Linked DNA regions of Ovis aries. The protein of the gene in region 1 purifies or fractionates together with the protein of each later gene. This does not show direct contact. Links are inferred from orthologs where the notes say so. Each region holds a gene or a part of one and is shown on either strand. Other genes may lie near its edges.

Region 1 (3,912 bases):
TAGAATCATAAATTCTATTATGCTTATTGGGGTATGACCACAGGCCTATTGATAATTGTCCATTGTTAACTACATAGGCTTAAGACATGATCAAGCGTTAACTTTGATTGTATTTCTTTTTCCTTTCTTCAGACTAGTTTCAGGGAACCTCATACACTTAGGGTGTATAAAGTGAAAGTGAAGTTGCTCAGTCTTGTCCGACTCTTCATGATCCCACGGACTGTAGCCCAGCAGACTTCTCCGTTCCTGGGATTTTTCAGGCAGGAGTACTGGAGTGGGTTGCCACTTCCTTCTCCATGGGATCTTCCCAACCCAGGGATCAAACCCAGGTCTGCCACATTGCAGGCAGATGCTTTACCCTCTGAGCCATCAGGGAAGAAGGTTTTCACAAAAACTGGTTGGGGTCCTTGGCTAAAAGGAGACTCTGCCTTGGGCCTGCCAGTGTAATAAACTGCACTGCCCTATCTGCATTGTCCTTCTGAATGAGTTTCTTCCCCGGAAGGCGTGGCTACAACATGACCAGATGGGGAGCCTTGTGGCCTGGAAGCCTGACTCCCCTGATCCTGTTAAAGGATGAAAAGGTCCTGTCCGGTGAAAGAAGCAACTCCCAGTCACTAGCTAGGAATCAGCGTCTGCTCTGGCAGTCCCGCTGCTAAGAATTTTAACGGGATCATCGTATTTGACCCCCAGTTCCCTGAAGGAAGCGTCATCAGCTCCATTTTTACAGAAGGGACTTAAGTCCCAAGCTTAAGACCCAGTGCCTTCCCAAGGTCATTAGGCCAAGAGGCTGAAGGAGATTTAAGCTGCGCCTAAGTCTCAAATCCAAAGACTGGGAAGGGCTGCCTCCGAACTAGCTGAGACATGGAGGAAGGGAGGCTTCTTGGAAGAGGCAGAATTTTCTGGTTCATTCTTGTTCAGCGGGTAGAGGGTGTGTGTGTGGTGGGGGGAGGAATGGGGGGATGGCAGCCCTATCGCCGCATTGCAGTGCATGGCAGGTATGAGGAGGGTACAGTAAACCCCAAGGGACTCGACTGCGACAGAACCCTGGAGGCTGCAGAGACTTCCTGTCCAGCCCCCAAGAGACCGCCTCTTGGGGCTACACCTCAGGGGCAAAAAACACAGTTGACCGTTCCCTTTATAGATGGCAGAAACTAAGCCAGCCCAGCGAAGGCCGTGGGTCTCGGCACAGAAATCTGGACGTCGGCTGGCTACCCGGGAACCAGGCAGGAGGGACCCAACAGCTGCCTGAGACCCCGCGTGGCGCCTCAGCCTCCAAGCCGCACCACGTAGCCACCCTCCTCCGCCCCGGGGCGGAGCTGAGGAGACTTCGCGCCTGCGCAATGAGAGCGCTGGTCCGGCGACCGGGCGTCGACGACGCGCACGCAGGGGCGTTGGGGCGGAGCCCCAGCAGGCTGGGCGCCTCTGATAGGCCACATCGGGGGTAAGAGGCGTTCCTGGGCGGGGCCTCGAGGCCGGTTTGGAATTTTTGGCGCGAGCTGGGTCCGCGCGCGTTCACGGGCCGTTCCCCCTCTAGAGTTCCCCCGCCCGGGTGTGGGGAGCGGTGGGCCGAAGACCCCGGCCCGCCTGACCGCCCCGAGGGCTCCCGCGCCTTCCGCTGACCCGGAATCTGGGACTTTGCTGAGCTGCGCCCCGCCCACCCGCCTCAGGTGAGCCCACACCTGGCCCTGAGGGTTCCCGGAAGGGACCGCCCTCTCCTCCCTTCTGCCGCCTCCCGAACAACTCTTAGCCCCCCTGACTGGCCTTGGATCTGCCTCACAGCCAACCCCCTCCAGCCTCCCTCCTTACCCCTCCGACAGCCCCAGCCCTCCCTGGGCCAGCCCAACCCCACTGCTCAGCCCTCCCTGGGCCCCTCTGCCGCGGGCGGCTCCGCCCACTTCCCCTTCGCCGGGCCTCCCTATCCCCTTGCTGGGAGCCCCTTACCCCTGCGACTACTCCTCCTTTACTTGTCCTCCCCAAGAAAAGCTCCTCCCCGGTGACAACAGGTCTGCTCCACTCTGTTCGCCAGGGTTTCCCCACGCCCACGGAGGTGAATCAGCTTTGGCCCTGCCCTGGAGGAACTCACAGTCTAGTGCGGTAGACGGTGGTCAGCAGATGGCATCCTACCCACTGAGAGGGTGAGGCCCCTGAAAAGTCATCCCAGCCTGGCCTGTTCTTGGGGCCGCCCTGGATTCACCGGGAGCCCCAATTTCTCCTACCTACCCCCCACCCCCACCCCCAAAGCTGTTTGGCCAGGCTAGAACGTTTACGTACTGTGGGATGGTGTGAGAATTGGTTAAGGGCCTGGAGGCTGTACTTTCAACGAGCACCCTACAGGGGCCTGACACCCTAGTCCTTCGATTTGAGAAACTCTGGGATTCCTGAGATGGATAGAGGCAGAGGGAGCGTCCCCACAGGCTGCAGGGTGAGTTCTCCATGCAGGCCCTCGTGGGGTCCCGCCCCTCACCCCTCACTTACTCAGGCATTGGAGGACACCCTCAGATTACCGCTCCTTCCAGTTTCAGTTACTGACTCACCCCCCTGTGCTGACTATGGACTCCTTTTGCTACACTGTGGCTCCTCTCAAGATTAGACTCTTTTTTTTTTTTCCCCCTTTTTTCTTTCAATTATAACATTATAGCCACACAATAGCCCTCTCTGCTCCAACAGAAAAGTCATTTATACCCATGGGACCACTGTCTTTTGTGTATTTTTTTAATTACAACTCAGAGCATTATATAACGGATACTGAGGAATCTGCATGCCAGATCCTAGACTAAGCCTTCCATAAAGCCAGCATTACAGGTCCACAAGCCCCTGAGTCCAGGTGTGTTTCCTGGACTAAATGTCTAAATTCTATAATGTCTCCAATTTTAGAAAGCTAATAGGGTACATGTAAGACATCATAGCTCAGTTGGTAAAAAAATCTACCTGCAATGCAGGAGACCCAGGTTTGATCCCTGGGTGGGGAAGATTCCCTGGAGAAGGAAATAGCAACCCACTCCAGTATTCTTGCCTGGAGAATCCCATGGACAGAGGAGTCTGGCGGACTATAGTCCATGGGGTCGCAAGAGTCTGACACGACTTAGCAACGAAACCAATCAACCAACCACCATATGTAACACCACCCATTCATGCATCTGGGACATCATCTCATAATCAAATGCATTAGTATTTCTATATGAATATTTATACTTAGAAGGAAGAATAGGCTGGGTCGGATTTTTCTTCTAAATGCTTATTGCATGTACACACCCAATTTTCCCAGCACCATTTATTAAAAAAACTATTTCTTTCCTGCTGAATTCTTTTGGCACTCTTGTGAAAATCAATGGACTCCTTAAGTGTGAGAGTTTTATTTCTCAACTCTCAGTTCTATACCACTGATCTTCATGTCCATCCTTATGTCAAGGGGGGAGTGGGTGTTTTCAGTAACGAGTCATTTTCCTCTTGCTACTCCCAAGATTCCCCGTCACGTTTGGTTTCCGGCACTTTTGACTCTGTGTGTGTGTATCTGCACTTATCCTACTTGAGGTTCATTGAGCTTCTTGGTTATTTTTACAATCACATTTGGGAAGTTGTAATCCATATTTTTCTAGCTCCTTCTCTTCTCTGGTGTACCCATCATGCATATGTTGGTTCACTTTGTTGTTCAGTCACCAAGTTGTGTCTGACTCTTTGAGACCCCATGAACTGCAGCACATCAGGCTTCCATGTTCTTTACTATCTCCAGGAGTTTGCTCAAACTGATGTCCATTGAGTTGGTGATGCCATCCAACCATCTCATCTTCTGCCGCCCCCTTCTCCTCCTGCCCTCGATCTTTACCAGCATCAGGGTATTTTCCAGTAAGTAGGTTCTTCGCATCAGGTGGCCAGAGTATTGGAACTTCAGCTTCAGCACTAGTCCTTCCAATG
Region 2 (3,912 bases), on another chromosome or scaffold:
TCTCCTTCCTGTTGGTTAGGAAGCAGACTGATGTGATCAGAGAGCAAGAGAAGTCATCTAAGACCACAGCTGCTGCTGTTAAGTCGTTTCAGTGGTGTCCAACTCTGTGACCCCATAGACGGCAGCCCACCAGGCTCCCCCGTCCCTGGGATTCTCCAGGCAAAAACACTGGAGTGGGTGTTTCTTCTCCAATGCATGAAAGTGAAGTCAGGTCCGACTCTTCATGACCCCATGGACTGTAGCCTACCGGGTTCCTCCATCCATGGGATTTTCCAGGCAAGGGTACTGGAGTGGGTTGCCATTTCCTTCTCCACTAAGACCACAGAAGTGATTATAAATTGAGAATGGTCCCTGATTGTAAGAGCTGCAAATAACCTGTTACCTGATTTCTATCTTCTACCTAATTGTTGATTAGTCTCAAGAGAAATGTACAGTGTTTTTGTACTCACCTTACGTATACCCTACAAAATACAGCAATATTTTATGTTTAAGTGGAAGTCACATCCCTACCTTCTCCATAAACCATAGGAATAGGCTAACCATCATCAAAGTTTGATGACAAGGGAAAAATCTGTAGCTTCAATCTCAGATGGAGAGTCTACATGTATTTGTTTTCCCCCTGCATGGGTATATATTGGGCTTCCCTGATGGCTCAGAAGGTAAAGAATCTACCTGCAATGTGGAAGACCCAGGTTTGATCTTTGGGTCAGGAAGATCCCCTCCAGAGGGGAATGGCAACCACTCCAGTATTCTTGCCTGGAGAATCCCATGAACAGAGGAGCTTGGTGGCCTACAGTCCATGGGGTCACAAAGAGTCGGACACGGGACTGAACAAATAACACTTTCACACTTTCAAAACTATATATATTTCTAACTACATATAAGGAGAATTGTTGCCCAAAGTTAACATTTCAGTACCAAGTGCTTTTCATGGAGGGTGATGAGGTAAAGAAGGCAATAACAATACAAACAACAAAGGAGCTACTAAGATAACATTGCAGGATACAATTAAACTTCCCTTCTCTGAAGATTACTGCCCTGTTTCACAAAAGTTTAAGTGGCTTGGTCAAGAAACAACAGCTTTAATTAATACTGGATTGGATATTAATCCAGATTTTAGTAAGATTGTGGTTATATTCTGTCCATTACTGCATATCCCCAGCTGAATTCTTGGTCAACATCACATAATTGAACATATCAACACATTACAGGAATAGAACTGTGTAGTATGTAAAAATATGACAACTGACTTCAAACAAAGAGACTTTTCCAATGCAATTAGGTATTACTAATCTGCAAGGCTGTCCAGAGAAATCAATTTTTCTCCAGAGAATACAGATTTACAAGACATTAGGGGGAGGGGAAAAGAGGAGACCCACCCACTGTTACTGAATGTACGCTTTCTAACTCAAAACAGCTTTCTTGGACATCTAAAAGGAGAGCAGACAGAAAAGGTCACTGTTTGGCCCCGCCTACACGTTAGCAGTTTCCCAGGATGCAGCGTCCTAGTCACCACCTAGGAGGACTGGGCGGAGCTGGTGTTTGAAGCCACACCCTAGTTAAGTCTCCGGAAAGCGTTAAGGCGATCGAGAGTTCGTTTCCTCCCACAATCCAATTTGCTAATCACATTTGGAAACTACGCTCTAGTCCCATCACATAATGATGCAGAAGCCACAAAAAAAAAAGCCTCAAAGCAAAAAATTATTTGGCCGATATAAACTAACAGAAAAAAATGCCCCAAAGCTGTTCGAGTTCTCAATTTAGTCTCAAAAGGAAGCCCCTTCAATATTAACCCAAGAAGGTTACCACGCACCAGCACCCGCTCAAAGTCGCCATACCCACTACACATTCAAATCCCAAGCAAGCTCGTTTGGGGGGGGGGGGGATTCCCCCACAAACTAATTTTTAGTGCCATCAACTTCAAGAGAGAAGTGTTTCTCTGGCGACGTTACCTGACCAAAATCACCCTTCCGACCGCCCCTCGCCCTCTGTGACTGGGGGTGGGGGGGGGGGGTGGGGGCGTTTGCCTGAATGCCAGGTAGGCCGAAGTTTTTAGGAACCGTTGCGCTTTTATGCAGGCGTCGGACTCTCAGCGCCAGGCTTCGGCCACGCCGGGCCCCCTTAGGCCCTCGGTCCCTTTCCTTTAGGGCAGCAACTCTGCACCAGAAGCGGCCCCTTCTGCGCTCCAGCTTTGTCCCCCTCACAGACAGGAACAAAGAGCGGAAGCCGGCTGGGCCGGCCCGCCAGACGAGGAGAGGCGCGCGCTCCCACCCCGGCGGCCCGACCCCAACACAACAGAGACTCGCGGCTGGCTCCCGACCTGAACTCCGGACCCCGACCCTAACCCCAGCCCGAAGCTCTTCGACCCCGACTCTGGGTCCCAGGTTCTCTCCCTTGGCCGGAGTTCCAGCCCAGGCTTGCCCGGGGCCGCGGCAGAGGTAGGCTGTCTGGCCTGCTCACCGGTATTCGTAGTGTTCATCGAAGTACTTGTCCGAGTAGTAGATCTGCTTATGGGCCATCCTGCAGGCGGGCGGTGGGCAGCAGCTGACTAGAGCGAAGCGGCGCGAAGACAGGGCGCAGGTGAGGAGACGTCTGCGTCAGGTGAAGGCAACGACTCGACTGAGACCAACCGACCGTAAGCCGAACGAGCCAGGTTTGAATCCGACAGCCCGCCGCTGATTGGGTAACGGTGCCGACCAATCACCTTCCGCTCATCCTGCGGGAAGGCTGCAACCAGCTCCTAGCCTATCGTCACCGCCTTTCTGTGGCGTTTGCACAAGATTAGCCAATCAGAGGCCTGTTGCGAGGTCGCCCCAGGAAAGAAGTGATGATTGGCGTGGCGTGGGGGTGGGGAGCTCCCTAACGAGAAGGGCGCGGCCAGGGAAGGGCGGAACCAGGACGTTAGGAACCGTAGAGCGCGTGCGCAGGAGTTTAGAAGGTTCCAGGTCCGCTGAGCCGTTTGGACCGCGAACCTGCGGGAGGGGTACGGTATCGCGAGGTTTGGCAAGGCCCAGGAGTGGGAGGGGGCTGCCTATAGAGCTGTCGTCAGTTTGTCCGCGCACCCTCGGCTGCCGGTCCTACGTGCCGGAAGTACGTGGGAGTTGAGGAAGGCGGGCAGCCCTAGACTGAGGGAAAGACTGAGAGAAAGAGGGAAGAGTGAGGGGAAGAGTCTTAACCCAGGCGCGCCCAGCCGTTTTGTGGAGTAGAGATCCGGAAAGCCAAAGTTGTGCCGGGACGTGAGGAAGACGTCAGAATACCGCACAGCGGCGAGGCCGCATGGAGTATCCCGGAACCTCGCTACTGAGTGCTGCGGGGGTGGCGGTGCGAGGCCGTTGCCCAGAGACCTCTCAGGGGACAATTGTCTTCCCACGCCCTTCGCACATTCTGACAACTCTATAGATAGGCGTGCGTGCGTGCGTATGGGAAAATAAAAATTACTAAAATAATGATGTTTGGTAGAGGACGACGGTATTAAAAGTGATTTGTAAAAATTCCTTTGGCTTGTTATGCTTGAAATCTAATTTAAAATTAAGGTACTTGTACGGGGTTCCCTGGTGGTCCAGTGGTTAGGCCTGTGCGCTTTCAATGTCGTGGACCCTAGGTAGATCCCTGGTAGGGAACTAAGATCTCACATGCCCCGTGGCCAAGAAGAAAGTGTTTTTCACTTTTTCCACAATGAGCGCCTGTGGGTAGTGCAGCACAATACCGGTAAGAGCTTCATTGTCCTGCCACTGCCTCCCTCCCACAGGATGGTCGCTTTATCTCTTGACTCTCAGCCTAAGCTAAGAAAGTCGTCTTCATCACCTGTTCGGAGGAAGTCCCCACCGTCCGCATTCCTCTCCATCCTTGCCCAGCAGGTGCACGCTCGGTCGGGTACTGTTCCCCCACCCGCACTATAGCATAACCTCCAGC

The links.
Region 2: the proteins of PKMYT1 (region 1) and CKS2 purify together in Homo sapiens (affinity purification with mass spectrometry; 3 studies listed by BioGRID and IntAct, counting the BioPlex papers as one, with this or other methods). This does not show direct contact. The link is inferred for Ovis aries from reciprocal best matches to the Homo sapiens genes PKMYT1 and CKS2.

What each region holds. Positions count from the first base shown.
Region 1 is NC_056077.1:2,892,840-2,896,751, reverse strand, and holds the start of PKMYT1 (membrane-associated tyrosine- and threonine-specific cdc2-inhibitory kinase), read left to right. Parts: upstream 1-1,479; 5' UTR 1,480-1,667; intron 1,668-2,026; 5' UTR 2,027-2,135; intron 2,136-3,912. UniProt on the Homo sapiens protein: Acts as a negative regulator of entry into mitosis (G2 to M transition) by phosphorylation of the CDK1 kinase specifically when CDK1 is complexed to cyclins. Mediates phosphorylation of CDK1 predominantly on 'Thr-14'. Also involved in Golgi fragmentation.
Region 2 is NC_056055.1:24,107,250-24,111,161, reverse strand, and holds the start of CKS2 (cyclin-dependent kinases regulatory subunit 2), read right to left. Parts: upstream 2,622-3,912; 5' UTR 2,520-2,621; coding exon 2,461-2,519; intron 1-2,460. UniProt on the Homo sapiens protein: Binds to the catalytic subunit of the cyclin dependent kinases and is essential for their biological function.